Linked DNA regions of Drosophila melanogaster. The protein of the gene in region 1 purifies or fractionates together with the protein of each later gene. This does not show direct contact. Each region holds a gene or a part of one and is shown on either strand. Other genes may lie near its edges. The genes, in order: sti, neb and Act5C.

The links.
Region 2: the proteins of sti (region 1) and neb purify together in Drosophila melanogaster (affinity purification with western blotting; one study listed by BioGRID). This does not show direct contact.
Region 3: the proteins of sti (region 1) and Act5C purify together in Drosophila melanogaster (affinity purification with western blotting, with the first as the bait; one study listed by BioGRID). This does not show direct contact.

What each region holds. Positions count from the first base shown.
Region 1 is NT_037436.4:12,511,752-12,518,913, reverse strand, and holds the start of sti (sticky), read left to right. Parts: upstream 1-4,098; 5' UTR 4,099-4,246; coding exon 4,247-4,532; intron 4,533-4,788; coding exon 4,789-5,033; intron 5,034-5,089; coding exon 5,090-5,452; intron 5,453-5,511; coding exon 5,512-6,879; intron 6,880-7,110; coding exon 7,111-7,162. Other genes in the region: tral (trailer hitch), read right to left, coding at 1-184, 247-476, 660-890, 957-1,498, 1,855-2,355, 3,342-3,462.
Region 2 is NT_033779.5:20,072,159-20,079,320, reverse strand, and holds the start of neb (nebbish), read right to left. Parts: upstream 3,565-7,162; 5' UTR 3,465-3,564; coding exon 2,025-3,464; intron 52-2,024; exon of another isoform or gene 4-51; coding exon of another isoform or gene 1-3. Other genes in the region: pr (purple), read left to right, coding at 4,296-4,363, 4,471-4,550, 4,985-5,130, 5,193-5,405; CG10730 (uncharacterized protein), read left to right, coding at 7,133-7,162; bwa (brain washing), read right to left, coding at 5,867-5,943, 6,675-6,967.
Region 3 is NC_004354.4:5,896,726-5,903,887, forward strand, and holds the start of Act5C (actin 5C), read left to right. Parts: upstream 1-4,135; 5' UTR 4,136-4,288; intron 4,289-5,256; exon of another isoform or gene 5,257-5,371; intron 5,372-5,964; 5' UTR 5,965-5,972; coding exon 5,973-7,103; 3' UTR 7,104-7,162. UniProt on the Drosophila melanogaster protein: Actins are highly conserved proteins that are involved in various types of cell motility and are ubiquitously expressed in all eukaryotic cells.

The DNA.
Region 1 (7,162 bases):
GTTTGGCATTCCGTTTCCGCCACGACCGCCGCCGTTGTTGCGATTGTTGCTCCTGTTTCGGAAGTTTCCGCCGCCGCCACCCATGCGATAATTGTTCCTGTTGTAGCCTGGCGCTCCTCCATATCCCGAGTTAATGCCGCCGTTGCCATTATTGTTGTAGTATTGGTTGCGTCCGCGGTAACTGCTTGGAATACATTCAGTTGATGAGCCACACTGCATTTGCTTGATTGCTTCGATTGGACTTACCTGCCACGTCGTGTGGAGGACACTCCGAAGGTCTCCGTGTTCAACTTGCGCTCCTGGCGCCAATCGTTCTTCTTGTTCTTGCTGCGATCCTGGGCAGCCTCGCACGAGATGTTGTCGAAGAACGATTTGGTCTTGTCGTAGCACACAGCAACATCATCCTCCTCAGGCTCGTGCTCTCCAGCGCCGGTCTCGTTGCCAGAATCATCCTTCTTGTCGGTCTCGCCATTCAGCTGCAAGCAGATGATGCAAATAGTGAGTAACTCTTAAAACGATCGTATAGAAAATGTTACTTAAACTGAACTTAAACAAGCAATAAATAAAGAAGAAGATTTACCTTATTTGTTAATAAACTGCTCTTATTCATTTAGAACTAATTTGTAGTGTATAAAAATAAAAAGTGTATGTGGACTTACTGTGTGAACGCCTTCAACCTTCTCACCCACCTGCTCATTGGTTGCAGTTGCAGTGGCGGCCGTTGCATTGGTGGCTGGCTTGGGTGCACCATCCTCGGCCACCTTGAGCTTGGCCAGTTGGGAGCGCAGTTCCTCGAACTTGTTGTTTGCCTGCTCGAAATCGAAGTCGCCCTCGAACTTGATCTTGTTCCGCGGCTTGTTCTGATTATTGGCCGACTGCGGACGATAGCCCTGCAAAATGTGAAAGCCAGGGTTTAATAAACCATCTATAGCAGTGTGAGTCACCAGCAGGTGTACCTGATTGGGTCGCATGGGGCCGCGGGATCCCATGCCGCGGTTGCGCATGTTCATCATGTTGTTCGAGTTCTGGTTGCCGCGATGCATGTTCCAGGCCGGGTTGTTTCCACCTCCGTTTCCACCGCCGCCGCCGCTGCCGCCGTTTCCTCCTCGCTGCTGCTGTTGCATTCCGTTGCCGCCGCCGCGATTGCGCTGATTATTATTATTGTTGTTGTAGTTGTTGCTATAGTTGTTGTCCATTTGACGTCCGGAGTCCCGACGATCCCGCTGCTGGTTATAGAAGTCCGTTCCACTGCCGCCGCCTCGTTGCTGCTGCTGCTGCATATTGTTGTGGCTGGGTCCGCCACGTTGCTGATGCTGCTGATTCTGTTGCTGCTGGTGGTTCTGGCGCTTATGTCCTGCATCGCGTCCGTTGCCACCCTGGCCAGCGTTCTGTTGCTGGTGCAGCTGCTGCTGCTGAGTCAGCTCCGCCGTGGGACTCACAATCAGGCTAATGGGCGTCGTCGATCGCGAGGCACCGGCCAGCATGTCTAGAACGGAAACTGTACACATATAGAGGACGCAACGAGGACGAAAGTAAAGGAGAGAGTAATGCGTGTGGGCACCAAAAACATTAGTCCAAACAAATACTTGTGTCAAATACTTTGTATCAAAAGGTGACATTAACTATTTTAAAGGGCTGAGTAAAAGAGCGTAATTTTTAAGCATTTAAATCGACATGCTCGCTTATCGGATAAAGCCACAAAATGAACCATATCTTAAACTATTCCCGGAATTTGCGTTTTTGAAAATAGCAATCGCTTTTTAGCAGGAAACGAATTTTGATTTAAGATCACAAATGAGAAGTTCTACTTGTGTGCAATGTAATTTTAGTAATGTGTGGTCTACACCAACTCACTTGGCTGTTTCTGCTGCTGGGGCTTCGGTTGCTGCTGATTGCCACCGATGTGCATGAAGGGTCCGCTGCCCGGAGCACCGGAACCGGGTGCAAGCGATCCGCCCGCATTGCCCACCATGTTGGCCAGATTGGGACCGCCGAGGTTGCCGAACGGATTGCCATTGCCGTAGCCGGGTCCGCCGCCGCCAGGAGCTCCTGCTCCACCAGCACCACCACTGCCTCCACCGCTTGGCATTTGGGGCGGTTGCTGCGACGGCACCTGTTGCTGCTGCGGCGGACCGCTCATCCCGCTGGGCATGGGGAAGTGCTGCGGCATCTGGGGCGGTCCGTTCTGGAGCTGCGCCTGCATGATCGCCGGGTCATTGTGGTGCGGCAGCGTGTGGTTGTTGACAACGCGAATGTCCTTGATGTCCGAGCCACGGAATAGGATGTAGTCGTAGATCTGCGATTGCGGCGCTATCTGGAACTGGGTGTCCCGATCTTCTGTACCGAAGGATCGCACTGAAAAAGAAAAGAGGGTTAAAATGAATTGAGTTATAATATTAAATCGTATAAAGAGTACAATAGTGAACATTTTTTCCGTAAAGTTTTCTTATCCCAGCCGCCATTTTTATTCCATTGCTTTAAGAAAGATCTTTCACAAAACTAAACTTTTAAATTTTTAAATTTTTCCATTGCAAATAAGCTACCTTTTTTGCTTAACCGGTATTCTAAGTCGGTTTTTAAAAGTGCTCCATCTAATAAGTGGAACTTTCCGAGCCCACATCTTTCAAGTTTATATTCCAATTGTTTTAAAATGAATGCACCGCATTATATAATGCAATTGTTCAAAAGACGAATTACTTGGATTGCGGCAAACTTGTAAACCCATTAAGGTTAGGCCGCGCTTCCAATTTAACCTCAACTGGGGAACGCATGTTTTGCCGGTATTTCTCCGCTCTCCGTTCCTCCTTTTCGACTTCCAGGGCACTGACATCCGTAACGGGAGCCCTTGGATCCCGTTATCTGGCGCCAAATCGAAATTGTATTTGCAAATAAACAAATTGCATTGGGGCCTTGCTGGTGCTCGTTACTTTGTGCGCGGGTGTATGTGTGCCAAGTAAATTGCAAAAGCAACACTGTACAACAACAACCAAAGACAAAAACAGGCCAAAGCCAACATGACAAACAAAAAGCATAAGTGGGAGAGCGAGAGACGGCTGTCGAAATGGGTAATGGAGAGAGCGGTGGCGGCAATTGCACTCACCGTCTCCACGAGTATGAAATTACTGTAAAAACTAACAAAAAGAAACGAACCAAAAGGAAAGAAAGAGTAGAGCCACCAACACAAGAGAAATGGACAGAATCCATTTTCTTTTGCGATGAACCGTTTTTTTACACGATTTTTTTTTTCTTTTTTTTTGGCGCAGATTACGGCACCCACATATGTATATCCCGTATATGTACATATATGGGCGACGTGGGCGATTTTCGTATTAAATACTTACCACTCGAGAGCGCAATGGTGCACTCCTGCGGATCCACCGTGTACAGGCGGCCCTCGTATCGAATGTCCGCCTTGGAAATGAGGCTGATTTTGGAGCCCAACTCCGGTAATCCCCCGCTCATCTTGAACTACTTCGATGCTTCACTGCGCACTCACGCCGAAAATACAAACTATTATTAAATGTTTCTGCCAACAGGCACACGAATTTCTCTGTCAAAAGCAAACAATTATAGCGAGCGCGACGACAACGATTTCTCGACGGTTTCAGTCTCTGCTCTTTTACTTTTTTTCCGTCTTTTTTTCACACGCAATTGCGTTCCAGTTCCAGGGCGAATTTGCGGCCAATCGCCTTCTAGCCGCGTTTGCTTTATCAAGCTGTGTTTTTGCACAAGTGCGACAAGCGCTTTTCCAATGTCTGTGATGCTGCACACACGGCTCCAAATGTGAAAATTGCAATTTTCGATGCACAAATCTTTGCTCCGTCCGTCTGCGAAAACCTACCCGTCGAAAATGAACGATGCATACGAGCGAGAGCCTCGACGGTGTTGGAAAGCGCGGTTGTATAGCAGCGGCGGCGGCAGCGAAATAATAATAATAACTGTTTATGTGCAAAACTGTGCAAAATATAAAAGGGGACGCTTCAAAAGGTTGCCAAAAGTAAATAAGACTATTTCATTATTTATCCGTTCTCTGTTTGCATTAAAATTCAAATTTTATCCTCTTTCACAGGGCAGCCCTACTTGCAACCCTAAATACAACTCTGGAAAGTGAGCACGCATCCCTGGCTCTTCGGCTTCCCTCGGCGCATTTTTTTCAAAGCGAAACGGCAGAAAAATGCTCTGGCATTTTACGGATTTCTAATTGTATTATTTATGTGAGAAAATTGCAAATAAAAGTGAGTCCATCATGCCACCCAAGATGGAGCCGATTAGCGTGCGCACCGCGCGTCTGAACAACCTGATTCTGGGCAAAGGAGCTGGCGTCTGTGCGAAGCCCGCTGGAAGCGCCTCCGGATCAGGTATTCCCGCCTCCACCAGGAGAAGCATTGTACCCGTGAGCACCACTAGCGCCGCCGTGGCCGAGGCCATCTGCCGCGAGGGACTCCTGGACGCCTTCTGTCTGCTGTACAACGAGTGCGACAAGGATACGCTGAAGAAGCGCGATCGCAACATCGCCGAGTTTGTCAACAAATGTGAGTCAACTGCATTGGTCAGCAGGGTTTTCGGATGGAGTATCTACCATTCTATAGAAATGGAACTCAGAAGCCACATTTTTACTTCCTCGGGTCAGAGAATCTACTTTTGCTAATCATATTCCATTATTAAAGCCCACAAAATTATTGGGAGTAGAATCTCTTATAGATTTACCTGTATGTTCCGGTTTCCCTCCTTGAAAATAGAGCTCATGCCTAGTTACCCATTATATTACTATCTAATTTCCTACTCCAGTTCGTCCCATCATAGAGGAGACCCGCAAACTCAGGGTCAACGCAGATGACTTCCTCATCAAGACGCTTATTGGCCAAGGATACTTTGGCAACGTTCACCTGGTGGTGGAGCGGCAAACCAACGACATATACGCCATGAAGAAGATCAAAAAGTCGGTGGTGACGACGTCACAAGTCAAGGAGGAGCGCGATATCATGTCCATTCGCAACTCTGAATGGCTAATCAATCTGCAGTATGCCTTTCAGGTTTGTTATTTCCACATTTTCGCATATTTCAGTACTTGAATTAACTTATCACTTAGGATAACGACAATCTGTACCTGGTCATGGAGTACATGCCCGGCGGAGACCTTCTCAGCTTGATGTCACGCCACGGCCCTTTCGATGAGGACTTGGCTCGTTTCTATCTGGCCGAGCTCACAGTGGCCCTGCACACATTGCACGAGATGGGCTATGTGCATCGGGATATAAAGCCTGAAAATATACTGATTGATCGTTTTGGCCATATTAAACTGGCTGATTTCGGTAATGCCGCTGCCTTGGATCGCGATGGCCATGTGCTGAGTTTGTCGCCGGTGGGAACACCGGATTACATAGCTCCAGAGCTGCTGCAAACCATATCCACCTACAAGCTGTCCAAGTCGATGCACGATGTGAGTAGAATTGTACGATCGCAGAGTTTGGTTTGGAAAGTTCATAGCTAAAACAAGAACTCATTTTGTAGGTCAGCTGCGATTATTGGTCCATGGGCATTATAGGATATGAGTTAATATGCGAGACAACACCTTTTCACGAGGACAATGTACACGAGACATACTCCAAGATTCTCTCCCATTGCGAGGAGAGTCACCTTAAAGAGCTCATCAGCTTTCCCGCCGACTTGAAGGTGTCTGTTAACTATAGAAATCTTATTGAGTCACTGGTCACAAATCCTTCGAAGCGATTGTCCTATGAGCGCATTAAGAATCACCCCTTCTTTAGCGAAATTCCGTGGGGTTCCATTCGCTCGCAGGTTCCACCGATTATACCAACTGTTAGGTCTGACGATGATACCTCCAATTTCGAGGACGGAATTCGTCATAAGACTCGCAGAGAACAGGGAGTTGCTAAAAAGTCCCTTACGACTAACATGAAATCGAATGATTTCAGTGGCAAGGATCTGCCATTCATTGGGTACAGTTTTGTGCACATGGAAAAGTCGGCAATTTCCGCTACCACCGATGAAAAGCTTCAGGAGAAGCTAAAGGAACTGCTGCAGAAACTGAAGACTAGAGAGAACGAGATTTCCATGCTGAAACAAGATCTTCTGCGGGCTCAGCAATCGCTGAGGAAGACCGATAACAAATCTCAGGTGGTAGCCGATGCTAAAATGGAAATTAAGAAGCTGCAACAGATTATCAAGGAGAAAACAATGGAGCTTACCACTTGCAAGACGCAAATTAAGACACTCCAAAGTTCGGCCAAAATAGACGAGGAAATGTGGTCCAAGAAGGAAGCCACTATCACCGATCTCCTTCGCCTTAATCGACAAAAGTACGAAGAAGCCAAGATCGCTTCGGAGCAACGATATGAGAAACAATTGGCGGACAAAAAGCAAGAGCTGGCATCCACGCTGCAAAAGTTAGATGCCCGTGAGTTGGAGTTCAATGCCAAGTTCGAAGAGTGCAAGCATTTGTCCATGAAGTTGCAAAACTACAAGGATATGCTGCAGCAGATCAAGGAGCAGAATCTCAAGTCCGAGACAAACCATGAGGAGCAGAGGCGCCAAATGGCCGAATTGTATGAGCAAAAGCTAACAGATCTCCGGAAAAAGGTTCGCGACTCGCAGGATACAAACCGCCGCATGACAATGGAGATAAAGGAAATACGCACCGAGCTGGACGAGTCCATATCCTCCAGCAAGTCCACCCAAGAAGCGAAGAACGCTACCGAGCGGAATATCGAAGAAATTCTGCGGCGTCTGAACGAGGAGATCGCCTCCAATAATGAGCTTCATGCGGAAAAGGTCAAACTGGAGACGAAGCTGCAGCTGAAGGAAAATGAAACTCAAGAAGTTAGAGCCGAATGTCATCGACTTGAGAGGGAATTGCAGGTAGGTGGTTATTCATCTGCATTGGTTAATTCAATCACTGCAATATTGAGTAAAAAAAAATTATATAAAAAGAAATCTTAGCAGGCTGTGAATGTTTGTGTTTTTATTTTGTGTCAAACTTAAAGTCTTAATGATTTTTAATGAAGCATATAGCTTTCGATTGAATCGATGAATATAGAAACCTAAAGATATGTAATTTGTAAATATACTTTATGAATTAATTTAAACTAGCTTGCCGAATGTCGCTGTCAGCTGGCTGAATCCTCACTAGCCACCCAGGTTT
Region 2 (7,162 bases), on another chromosome or scaffold:
TAGTGCCGAAGTACCGCACAAAAATACCAAATAAAGCATTATCTGCAAAGTATTTTTAAATCTATGGGGTGGCAAGTGAAGATGTAGATGGAACTTTTGTGTCGTATGCAAAGATAGGAAAAGTACTTCACGGATAGATAGGAACCATGGAAGCCCAAAAATATCAGAGGCAAAAAACAAGGTCGGCTGATATATAAAAAAAAAACACAACAAAACCCCCCTCCTTTTAAAGGGGTGAAAACAACTAGTAACAATCAACATACAAACCCTAAATCTAAACCATCTAAATCTTTCAATGATTTTAAAGATGGATTGGGCAACCACAATCTGGTGCGTTTCGTCACTACGCTGGCTGCGAGAGTCCCCTACGGACCTACGACGCCATTCCAAGAAATATTTGTCTTCACCTTTTATGGCAAAGGCCGCGTACGGAAATAAATCATGTGAGCCATTTTATGGGCCGTACTACCGTAACGAAAAGCAAAGTGGACACTGGACACTAAATAACACTCAGTGGAACGGGTTTCGGGAAAAAAGACAAGTGTTTGGACTTTCGATCAAGAGCCTCTCACTTGTGGGCGCCATGTAATTACTCATTGAATGCAGTCGAATGATTATAAATTACGTCGCAAATGTCGAGTGCGCCTTTTTTTAGAAGCCAGATACTTGTATTATATAAAACCCTCACTTTCGGATTAACTAGCCTGGTAATATTCCAACAATCAAGTTATTACGAACGTGTGGCGTTCGCTTAAGAGCAGTTGTTAACTTAAAATGCACACATAAGTATGTTACATTGATTGCTAAAGAAAACGCAGTCGTTACTCAATTCAAACAATCGTGAAACAAGTAGCTAATATGTTAACTAATGCACAACATTCAAGTCTCATGACAAGTTTATAACAATTTTCCTGCTAATGCTATGTAAGCATTTGCTGAGGTTTTATAACAAAATAATTATATTACCCGGGTGAAGACACTGCTATCTTTTTATTCGCGTTCTTAAAATAAATTTCTAGAAAGTTTACACGTGCGCCTTTGTATCAGGTCATAAATTTTATGGTCACATAGGAAAAGCAACAACAATAGATTAAATAGATATGATAAGAGGCCAAAATTTTAATCACTCAATTGATTGAGGTGCGGGAGGTCTTTGATTTGGTAGACCTTAATAAAAGGCTTTCCTATCGAAAATGATAAGGAAATAATAATAATAAAAAATACACTAAGTCTGCTGGCAATCTTAGCAAACAAAATAAACAAACGAATGATAACAAGGTTCGAGTTTAGAACTCGAGATCTCTCATATTTAGTCCTATAAAGCGCAGATAAACTCAATCTAATCTCTGGCTGATGTTGTCGTCTTCTTTTCCTTGTTTTTTTCGGACAATTTGACGCTTTATTTTAATTAAAGTAATTAGCACCCCAGTTAATTGATAGAGCCAACATAAATCTGTCTAGCAGCTGCTCCTCGCAGTGCAGACATCATTAAAACAGAATTCGCGTGTCGCGCGAGTCGAGATGATATCTCTGTAGACAGTGGGCTTCATAGCTCATCACGAGATCTGTTGAAAAGACGAATATCTGCCAGCCAGTTAAGTAAACATTTGACCGTACGAACATTTTGTGGGTACTTTCCGCAGGGGTCAACGTGTCATTTGCATGTTGCAGTGCAGTTCTACGTACTGATTGCTTTCCGGGTAATTACTGATTGCAAGGGGACCCCATTCCGTGGGCCACTGCCTAATCGAAGCGAAAGTGTTGATAAGCAATCCTATCGGTGGTGGCAAAAGTGCGGAAAGCATTGCGAATATACATATGCATTTATATTGAAGACATGAGGTTATAAGGTTTTACTGAGCTGAACTTATTCGAAACACATACTTAGCAATCACTTCTGGGTACAATTATTGATTTCAAAAACCAAGGGGATAAGAAAGAGTTATCATTAGCCGAAAGTAGACCAACCTACTGACCCGGTTGATAAGTACAAACGCAGCTAAGAACTATTTCGTAACACTTACCCGCAACAGCCAGGTGAGCACGCTCTCGCGATAGGGAACGAAGGTGCTGGGCGTCCCAGAGCCCAGGGGTCCATTGGCGATCGCCTTGCGGGAATCGGCGAGAGCAGCAATTACTTTCCCCAGCGTCAGCAGGCTCTTGTTGATGCTGACGCCCTCGCGGATCCGCTCGCCGTTCGATCCGGAGACGCTAATGCGTTCGCTGCCCGCCAGGTCCACCAGGCTAATCTTGCTGCGCCGCGTCTGCCGCAGGGAGGAGGCCGTGCTCGAGTCCGTATCCGAGGACAGGCCATCGTCACTGCTCAGATCGGTGAGGTTTAGGACAATGTTGAAGATGGAGTGTGAGCGCGAGCTCTTGTCGTTCATGGCCGTGGAGGCAGTGGCCCGCTGGGAGTTGCCCACGGCAAGCCAGTTGCGGAGTGCCGAGTACGAGTCCACCGAGTGGGCACTCAAGTCCACTACGTAGGGCCCGAAGATGGGATGCTCCCTGACCTTTAGAGCCGGACGCTGCTGCTGTTGTTGCTGCTGGATGGGCGTGGATTCCCCGGTGGCAGCTGCCGCATGCTGGACACTCAGCAGATCGTGTATCTTCTCGTTGTAGATCTCAAAGTAGCTGACCTCCACCTCCACCTGCAGCTGCTGCTGACTTTTCACAGCCTCTATGCGGCGGAATAGCTCGTGGCAGAAGCGTGGAATGATGCCCGCCTCATCGTGCGGCGGTCCGCCATCCAGAGCGGCGTCATCCAATGCTTCAATGCCCATCATGCTGTACGATTTGCCCGAGCCCGTCTGGCCGTAGGCAAACAAGCAGGCATTGTAGCCCTCGAAGGCAGTGTCGATCAAGGGACGCGCTGTGCCCTCAAAGACTTTGGCCTGGCAGGCGAAGTTCTTTCGTTCGGGATCGCACGAGTAGTAGACCTGGTCGTAGCTGAAGAAGTGCGTCACGCCGGCGGAGGCATCAGCACTGCTGCCCGCTTGGACAGTCAGCTCGTTGCTGTTTCCGTGCACCTGGACCACATTGGTGACCTGACCACGTGTGCATTCCAGGGCATTCAGTGGCCGCACTCGCACCGCCACAATCATGTTGCTCTCCTCGGACACGCTGAGGCAGGACTCCATCAGAGAGTCCCGCTCCTTTGTCCTGCTGCAGCTGGATTTCCCGGTGCCGGGCGTCTTTGCTCTTCCAGGAGTAGAGTTCGCATTCCTGTACAGCGACGAGGGTGTGTAGCAGGCATTCAGGGCCGTGGGCTTGGGCTTCGGCTGTGGCGTGCTCCCGCTGAATGCAGTGTTCAGCAGCTGTTCGGGACGATCCCGGTGCTCCCGATCCTCCGCCCGCGTCATCAGCACCTTCTTGCGCATCTCGGATGCCGGCGTGGATTTGTGGACTCCTCGCGTCTGGAACTGCTGGATGCGCTGCCGCACCGGAGTGCTCTTGTTGCTCATGTCTAGATTATTATTTAGGTATCTCTGCTCGTTTTTTAAATAACGCCGAAGAGTTTCGAATTATTGCGCGGCGTCGTTTGTTATTTTTTTTCTAGTGAAGGGCGGCGATCGATAGCAAAGCAGGGTTGATTACAGTGAGCGGCGTGAGGTCCGGCAACGCCACCACGAGCCAGGGATGAACAGCACTTACATACTCTGTTAGCTAACTCTGTTAATCAGCTCATTTAAATTATGAGATAATTGACAAAGAACTAACATGAAATAAATAAATATATAGCGAAATTGTAATAGTGTAAGGATTTCTACCCATACAATAGTCTATTTGTGCAGTTGTAAATCACTGAGAACAGTTGTGGCGGCAAACTGCTCAGCTCTGGCCGATAACCGATACGCGCTGCCTTGTTATCGGGAGCAGCTGTTGACGAGCAACGTAGACAAAAGTAAATATTATTGAAAATCCATAGCAATTAAAGGTGAGTTCCTTGCTGAATTGAGTTTGTTACCATGGCTATAGCATACCACACCCTGTCTTTGCAGCACGCATAGGCACTTGCAACAGAAAACGAGGGAACATCAATCGCTAATCAGCTGCAATTAGCCGCACTCGAAAAGTTCAGAGAAACTAGTTCCGAGCGTGTTGATATCGCAGTCGCCGCATTTGTGGCTTATATTTCCTTGTTCCCTCGATCCAAGTACCATATAAATAAGCGCGGCTCAAAAGCAGGTTTTGCATTCATTGTAAAACATTGCCAAAGCGCGCAGCTGATCAGCCGCATATATAAATCCACATCCAGATACAGATCCAGATATATAGTATAAATCGGACTTGAAATGTCGCAGCAACCTGTTGCCTTTTTAACCCGTCGCGAAACTTTCAGCGCCTGCCATCGTCTCCATAGGTAATTAGATTGAATCAAATTGAATCATTCAATTGCCTGATTCAATCACGGCTGGCAAACCAATTCAGTTCGATTTAAATTGATTGCTGCATCTATTTTCTCTTCAGTCCCCAATTGAGCGACGCCGAGAATCTGGAAGTCTTCGGCAAGTGCAACAATTTCCACGGCCACGGACACAACTATACAGGTAAAAAAAAAAATACCCCTTAAATACACTTAGTCGCATGATTACCTGCAAAGTGCCACACTTATTATCACATAACCCCGGCTCAATCAGGCTTAACCCCCTACTAAACTGGTAATTTGAGCCCAAAGTGGTGCCTAACCATAGCAAAACCTTGGCCGACAAGCTCGCTTATCAAAACCATATTCAAGTTCAACGCTCAAAGGCAATCAATATGTTGACTGGCGACCGAGAATTGATAATGAATAATGGTTCTGAACGAGCATAAAGTGTCGCAAGTGCTCAACTGATTAGAAATTTGGATTATATTTAGATTGTCAATAGCTAAACCTTAAGAACTCAAGCTTGACTCGATGCCGATTATACCAAATTATACCAAAAAATGTGTGAATAGACTACGAAAGATGTTCTTTTATAATCCTTTGTGATCTTTTCAGTTGAGATAACCGTCCGTGGTCCCATCGATCGGCGAACCGGAATGGTGCTAAACATCACCGAGCTGAAAGAGGCTATAGAAACTGTGATTATGAAGCGCCTGGACCACAAGAATCTCGATAAGGATGTCGAATACTTTGCCAATACAGTAAATAACCAGCAAGCACAACACAACTTACCGTACTTATCCTTTATATCTATCCCCCCCAGCCAAGCACCACAGAAAACTTGGCCGTTTACATCTGGGACAACATCCGTCTGCAGCTGAAGAAGCCGGAGCTGCTGTACGAGGTGAAGATCCATGAGACCCCAAAGAACATTATCAGCTACCGCGGCCCGTATCCGCTCAATGGCATCTACAACCCCATCAACAAACGCATCGCTCACGATTCGTGCACCAACATCTCGTCGGATTCGGATTGAACATTCGAAGATTGTGACATCGCCTAACGAATTTTTTGATTGGACCAATGATCAGCGAAGACTCAGCCAACCTCTTAAGCACGCGCGTAGAAAAGGACACTTACCATGTAAGGGAATGAAAAGTTATACGAATTACACAGTATGTAGGAGTAAAATATGTTAATGCAACATAATATTGAATAAAACAAAGGCAACTGAAATACTATTCTTTATTGCGATTAAACAAGAGAGCTTGCATTCCTAACACAGTATATTTGTCGACATTCGTTTAGCCTAAGTAAATCATACATACTTCCTAAACTATCGCTCCATATGGCATCTATACATAATTTGGTTTCCGCGATGAGCAGGCGAGCTTTGTAGTTAATAAATAATTTAGTTGTTCCACCTTCTGCAACTCTAACTTATATCACGCTGTGTATGTCTCTGTTTGGAGAAGGCTCTCCACCCGATTTCTTGCCTTAGTTCTTTCGGTGCTTGTAGTCATAGTCATAGTCCTGCATGTACAGACTGCAGTAGACGAGCCAATCTTTCGAATCTGTGGAATCAGCAAGGTAGCGGGTTGAATGATTTGGATTGCATAATACTTTGAGCAACGATCTCTACTTTGTTTAGTGTTTTAGTTGTGGTTACTGCTACATGCTAGTAGATTTCCAATCCAGAATAAGTGTAGGTGTTAGTTGGTTAGTTTGCGTAAATTAGACAATTAACAAATTCAGGTACTGACAACCTAATACGATTTTTTGTCTCTTTGGGAAAGCGTAGGAACCATTTGTTCTGGAAGTCATGGGATGAATTAGTTCATAACATATCACAGTCTGATGGTAACTCATACTCATAGAACGGGTTAGAAGACTTTGATTAAACTCATTTTAGGGGATAGACGGAACAATAAACATCATTTAGATATGTCTTTCTACAATAGTTCCACGGAGCAATCGCCCATTCATTTATGGACTAAGCAGGGCGCTACTATTATTGTTTTAGGCCCAAGTGTTCAGGTGCACCGAATCTTAAGGCGTTAACAGACTTATCTCTTTTGGGTACAACCGCGAATCCGATTCGTTTGCTTAATATAAATACATCTATGGCTAATAAACTGTTTCAACTATATAAAAAGTGTGCGCTACAATTACGTTGCCGCAATTTTACAATAATTGTGTATGGTTTTAAAGCATGTACGATATTATCGCTTGGTCTTTGGTCACTTCTCTGCCAGCTCTCCATTCCGGCGCAATCGTCCTTAGATGGTGTTGCGCAGAGCCTTACCTGGATTCCGGATCGAAATGAAGGGTATCCCGAACTCGAACTCGTTCTTTGGCCAGTACTTCAGCAGCGGCTGTCGCTGGGGCAGCTCCGATTCCACGTAGAAGTAGGCGAAAAGCACCAGCACCGTGTAGGCGGCTATAAAAATGAATATGTGCCAGAAGCCGTGCAGGTATGGAAAATTGATCGAGGACCAGGCCTCGCAGAAGATCCGGTCATTGATCCAGCAGAACACCGCAACAGCCCAGACGGTCGTCGATCGGATGCCCAGGCGGTAGACCCTCTGGTCACTAACTCTGTATGAACAAAGATATATATGGGTATTAATAAGTTGTTATATTTCGAAATAATTCGAAAAGAAACGCTCATGCTTTTCGTGTTAAATTAGCCAAGCGTTGTGAATGCAATTATTAAACGAGACTTTCGGTCCGCCAATGAAAATGCTGCAGTCAAAGGTGATCATGACGCTGTCGCGTAAGGACTTTCAAGCC
Region 3 (7,162 bases), on another chromosome or scaffold:
TACTGTTATAGTACATTGGATATTTCTATACTAATAACAATAATAATATTATAAGCAATAGTTTGGTTATGGCCACAGCAGTCTAGCCACCCACTGAAATTGAGTGAAATCTGGCGAAAAGCACGCAAAAATGGCAAAAACGAAATATTCATATCTTTCGCTTTACCGCTGCGTCTGCTGCTACTTGCGCATTTTTCGACTTTTGCAGACAGGTGGGCGTAGTTACGCCCCCACGACAGGCGCAACAATGTCGGCAATGCAGTGCGATGGGCAATTAACGGAGCAATTAGCGCCATGGAATTTGGCGATTTAGCATTATTACATTAACATAAATTCGTGTTGGCATTTATGTATACGACTGATCCCGCGAAAGCAAGCACGATTAACTCCGAGTGCTGCTATATATACATACATACCTGGATTTTCATTTGGAGCGAAAGATGTTTTAATGGCCACAGTGGAGGCCAGAATACTAGCAACTTTACATATACTAGCTACACTCCGTTTCAATAGGTTCATTTGAATCCTTGATGGAGTTTTGATAATAAACACTAATAATTAGATATGAACTGGATTTTTGGTGCTAAAAATTTGAGTGGTGCTGTTCTTCAATTCTTGGCTGAGATTTCGAGATTTCTTCAAACGTTTTTTCGCCTTTTTAGCCAAACTAACCGTCCATGGCCTTGGTTTTCGGGTGCTTAACTCCCCCGACTGCAAACGCACGATCAAAACTTACGTACATCCCCTCTACCTACCTCCCTCCCTTCCTTCCACCACCGCACTTTTCCAACGTGTTTGTGCACGCAAACTAATTAAGACAAGCAATTAATGGCTGTATTTAATTTTTCCAATTGCGTTGCGATGCCGAAATGGCCAAAAACGCTGGAGTGAAAATGTATTTGCAACTTGAAGATAGCCAAAAGCGGTTAACTGCAATGCCAGCTGTTGAAATGTGAAACAAACATACATACATATGTATGTACATAGTTATAAAAATAACGCGAAAAGGGGTGGGGTGGCAACCCTGGCGGTGCGTGCACGAAAAATAATGGAAATGGAAGAAAACCAAATGAAATGCGAAAAATTTACGAAAATTTTCACATTCAATGACCTTGACAATGGCTTTGGCCCAAGTCGCTCAACTTGTTTATTTCATTTACTTCGCTTGACGTGTGTGAGCGTAGAAAACGTGACGAGTTACGTACTTTTGGAGAAAGGTCGTTGATCATGGCTAAATGTTGTTGCTTTTCGCTTAATAGCGGTCTCAAAGTCAACATCAACGCGCTGTTTTTGGCCATTTCAGTATTTCTAGTTTCGATACCCCTCACCGCCGTCCCTCCGTCGGATTCCAGCGCTTTTTCGAACTGTTTCCCTTCAAAAACAGCTTTTTTTTCTTGAATTCAGTGGCGCAAGGTTAAAAGTGCCGAAAACCGAAGCCATTGGCCCGGGGAAATTTCTGCGAGTTTTTTCATCGCCTTGCCAAAAAAAAAAAAAAACAAAAAACAAACGATCGAGCAACGAACTTGAGAGAAGCAAATAGAGCCAAAAAAAAGGTTATGATTTTGTTCCAAAGAATGTTCCATAGAATTCTATATTCTAAAAACACAAATGATACTTCTAAAAAAAAATCATATTCATAAATGACTCTTTCCATGAATGGCATCAACTCTGAATCAAATCTTTGCAGATGCACCTACTTCTCATTTCCACTGTCACATCATTTTTCCAGATCTCGCTGCCTGTTATGTGGCCCACAAACCAAGACACGTTTTATGGCCATTAAAGCTGGCTGATCGTCGCCAAACACCAAATACATAATGAATATGTACACATTCGAGAAAGAAGCGATCAAAGAAGCGTCTTCGGGCGGAGTAGGAGAATGCGGAGGAGAAGGAGAACGAGCTGATCTAGTATCTCTCCACAATCCAATGCCAACTGACCAACTGGCCATATTCGGAGCAATTTGAAGCCAATTTCCATCGCCTGGCGATCGCTCCATTCTTGGCTATATGTTTTTCACCGTTACCCGGGGCCATTTTCAAAGACTCGTCGGCAAGATAAGATTGTGTCACTCGCTGTCTCTCTTCATTTGTCGAAGAATGCTGAGGAATTTCGCGATGACGTCGGCGAGTATTTTGAAGAATGAGAATAATTTGTATTTATACGAAAATCAGTTAGTGGAATTTTCTACAAAAACATGTTATCTATAGATAATTTTGTTGCAAAATATGTTGACTATGACAAAGAACTGGAATTAAGTGGCATATTTTGCATTGCTTTCCGATAATAGTTGTATTTTTATAAAGTAAAGCGTTTGTAAAATAAATACCTTTAATGTATTCTCATTTTCTTATGTATTTATAATGGCAATGATGATACTGATGATATTTTAAGATGATGCCAGACCAAAAGGCTTGAATTTCTGCGTCTTTTGCCGAACGCAGTGCATGTGCAATTGTTGTTTTTTGGAATATTCAATTTTCGGACTGTCCGCTTTGATTTCAGTTTCTTGGCTTATTCAAAAAGCAAAGTAAAGCCAAAAAAGCGAGATGGCAATACCAAATGCGGCAAAACGGTAGTGGAAGGAAAGGGGTGCGGGGCAGCGGAAGGAAGGGTGGGGCGGGGCGTGGCGGGGTCTGTGGCTGGGCGCGACGTCACCGACGTTGGAGCCACTCCTTTGACCATGTGTGCGTGTGTGTATTATTCGTGTCTCGCCACTCGCCGGTTGTTTTTTTCTTTTTATGCTGCGCTCTCTCTAGCGCCATCTCGCTTACGCATGCTCAACGCACCGCATGTTGCCGTTTCCTTTTATGCGTCATTTTGGCTCGAAATAGGCAATTATTTAAACAAAGATTAGTCAACGAAAACGCTAAAATAAATAAGTCTACAATATGGTTACTTATTGCCATGTGTGTGCAGCCAACGATAGCAACAAAAGCAACAACACAGGTGGCTTTCCCTCTTTCACTTTTTGTTTGCAAGCCGCGTGCGAGCAAGACGGCACGACCGGCAAACGCAATTACGCTGACAAAGAGCAGACGAAGTTTTGGCGAAAAACATCAAGGCGCCTGATACGAATGCATTTGCAATAACAATTGCGATATTTAATATTGTTTATGAAGCTGTTTGACTTCAAAACACACAAAAAAAAAAATAAAACAAATTATTTGAAAGAGAATTAGGAATCGGACGCTTATCGTTAGGGTAACAACAAGAAATGCTTACTGAGTCACAGCCTCTGGAAAACTGCCGCAAGCCAGAGAGAGAGAGAAAAAGAGGGAGAGCAGCTTAGACCGCATGTGCTTGTGTGTGAGGCGTCTCTCTCTTCGTCTCTGTTGCGCAAACGCATAGACTGCACTGAAAAAATCGATTACCTATTTTTTATGAATGAATATTTGCACTATTACTATTCAAAACTATTAAGATAGCAATCACATTCAATAGCCAAATACTATACCACCTGAGCGATGCAACGAAATGATCAATTTGAGCAAAAATGCTGCATATTTAGGACGGCATCATTATAGAAATGCTTCTTGCTGTGTACTTTTCTCTCGTCTGGCAGCTGTTTCGCCGTTATTGTTAAAACCGGCTTAAGTTAGGTGTGTTTTCTACGACTAGTGAATGCCCTACTAGAAGATGTGTGTTGCACAAAATGTCCCTGGAATAACCAATTTGAAGTGCAGATAGCAGTAAACGTAAGCTAATATGAATATTATTTAACTGTAATGTTTTAATATCGCTGGACATTACTAATAAACCCACTATAAACACATGTACATATGTATGTTTTGGCATACAATGAGTAGTTGGGGAAAAAATGTGTAAAAGCACCGTGACCATCACAGCATAAAGATAACCAGCTGAAGTATCGAATATGAGTAACCCCCAAATTGAATCACATGCCGCAACTGATAGGACCCATGGAAGTACACTCTTCATGGCGATATACAAGACACACACAAGCACGAACACCCAGTTGCGGAGGAAATTCTCCGTAAATGAAAACCCAATCGGCGAACAATTCATACCCATATATGGTAAAAGTTTTGAACGCGACTTGAGAGCGGAGAGCATTGCGGCTGATAAGGTTTTAGCGCTAAGCGGGCTTTATAAAACGGGCTGCGGGACCAGTTTTCATATCACTACCGTTTGAGTTCTTGTGCTGTGTGGATACTCCTCCCGACACAAAGCCGCTCCATCAGCCAGCAGTCGTCTAATCCAGAGACACCAAACCGAAAGACTTAATTTATATTTATTTAATTAATTTTAATAAAACACACCAAATGTAAGTAGCTTTCCCCTTCCCAACAACAAAACACCATCGAACCACTCCCACCAAGAAAAAGCAATAATCGAGAAAAGCCGCGGAAAATGTGTGATTTTTTTTGTAAACAAAACATTTTTTTATGTGCCAGTGCTGAAAGTGATCAAAAAATACTAGCCACGAGCTAAAGAGTTATTGTATTGACCAAAACTCCAAAAATACCCAAGTTTGGCCCTAAATTGTCAATCAAAATACCAATAGGTCGAAAGACATCAAAATTAACAAAACCAGGGTTTCAAATACCATAACTCAAGAATCAGGATTACAACTGCAGATTTCAGGATATATACATACAAATTATACGAAATTATAAAAACCAAAGCAATTCAATAGCCCCAACTCAAATGTTAGGATCTAATATAGTGTTTAAAGCCAAGCTCGCTGATGTGGGCGTGTCACGATTTCACCCAAAGATATGCCAAATTACGAATTGCAAATCAATTCGCCAACACTTTCTTTTTTTCCCACGCCCTAAAACACCAGATCATCCATAAATGTACATACATACAGTATATGCATATTATAATCTGTAAAACTAGATCAGGTTCTTGAAAATAGTGACGTAGGCAGCCGTTTTGGCTGAAGCAGAAATTTTTGCCGGTTTTTCAAAGTTGTAGTTGCAAAAATGGAGAAAACCTTCGAGCATTCGTTCATATACACACACTCACGCGCAAAATAACGAGAGAGAGTGTATGTGTGTGTGAGAGAGCGAAAGCCAGACGACGGTTTGCTTTTCGCCTCGAAACATGACCATATATGGTCACAAAACTTGGCCGCCGCAATTCAACACACCAGCGCTCTCCTTCGCACCCATAGCGACCATGGCGCGGAGCGAGCGAGATGGCGAGAGCGAGCGACGCCTATGGCGACGTCGACGCAGGCAGCGATTGAAAAACGCAGTTAACTGGCATTCAACATTCACCAGCCACTTTCAGTCGGTTTATTCCAGTCATTCCTTTCAAACCGTGCGGTCGCTTAGCTCAGCCTCGCCACTTGCGTTTACAGTAGTTTTCACGCCTTGAATTTGTTAAATCGAACAAAAAGGTAAAGTTTAACTAGCTTTGAAAAGTTTCGTGGCTCTTAATTGTTAAATTTTCTAGAGTGCGTTTAGTGTTTTTTTTTTTTTTTATTTTGTAATGTTAATTTCGGGTTCCAATTCGAGTTTTAGGCAGCCGCCATTTTAAGGGCGCATACACACAGGCAACTGTGCTCTCTTTGCGGCTTTCTTTTGCACCGGCATTCGTTAAGTGTCGTCTAGAAGCTTCTCCCCTCCCTTTTCGGCATATTCGTATTGTGGTTTTAATTTTTCGGGGCGGGGCCTTCTATTTTGTAACTGTTCTTTTAATTTCTTATTACAATTCGATCGCAAGTGAAAATCAGTTTTCAATCGGAAAAGTATTTTTTTATGAAATTTTTTTTGTCCAAGATTAAAATTTTGTACTAAAAAAACGTACATTGCATTGAGTGATTTTTAATTGTACACGAAAAACAAGTTAGTTTGTTATGACAATTGTACTTTGGTAGACCAGCGCAGTCCAAGGAAACCACGCAAATTCTCAGTTTTTTTTTTGCCATTTCTACATTACCAAATAAGGTAACCAAAAACTAATGGGAAATCCGCATTCTTTCCATTGCAGCTTACAAAATGTGTGACGAAGAAGTTGCTGCTCTGGTTGTCGACAACGGCTCTGGCATGTGCAAGGCCGGATTTGCCGGAGACGATGCTCCCCGCGCCGTCTTCCCATCGATTGTGGGACGTCCCCGTCACCAGGGTGTGATGGTCGGCATGGGCCAGAAGGACTCGTACGTGGGTGATGAGGCGCAGAGCAAGCGTGGTATCCTCACCCTGAAGTACCCCATTGAGCACGGTATCGTGACCAACTGGGACGATATGGAGAAGATCTGGCACCACACCTTCTACAATGAGCTGCGTGTGGCACCCGAGGAGCACCCCGTGCTGCTGACCGAGGCCCCGCTGAACCCCAAGGCCAACCGTGAGAAGATGACCCAGATCATGTTCGAGACCTTCAACACACCCGCCATGTATGTGGCCATCCAGGCTGTGCTCTCGCTGTACGCCTCCGGTCGTACCACCGGTATCGTTCTGGACTCCGGCGATGGTGTCTCCCACACCGTGCCCATCTACGAGGGTTATGCCCTTCCCCATGCCATCCTGCGTCTGGATCTGGCTGGTCGCGATTTGACCGACTACCTGATGAAGATCCTGACCGAGCGCGGTTACTCTTTCACCACCACCGCTGAGCGTGAAATCGTCCGTGACATCAAGGAGAAGCTGTGCTATGTTGCCCTCGACTTTGAGCAGGAGATGGCCACCGCTGCCAGCAGCTCCTCGTTGGAGAAGTCCTACGAGCTGCCCGACGGACAGGTGATCACCATCGGCAACGAGCGTTTCCGCTGCCCCGAGGCCCTGTTCCAGCCCTCGTTCTTGGGAATGGAGGCTTGCGGCATCCACGAGACCACCTACAACTCCATCATGAAGTGTGATGTGGATATCCGTAAGGATCTGTATGCCAACACCGTGCTGTCCGGTGGCACCACCATGTACCCTGGCATCGCCGACCGTATGCAGAAGGAGATCACCGCCCTGGCACCGTCGACCATGAAGATCAAGATCATTGCCCCGCCAGAGCGCAAGTACTCTGTCTGGATCGGTGGCTCCATCCTGGCTTCGCTGTCCACCTTCCAGCAGATGTGGATCTCCAAGCAGGAGTACGACGAGTCCGGCCCCTCCATTGTGCACCGCAAGTGCTTCTAAGAAGGATCGCTTGTCTGGGCAAGAGGATCAGGATCGGGATGGTCTTGATTCTGCTGGAG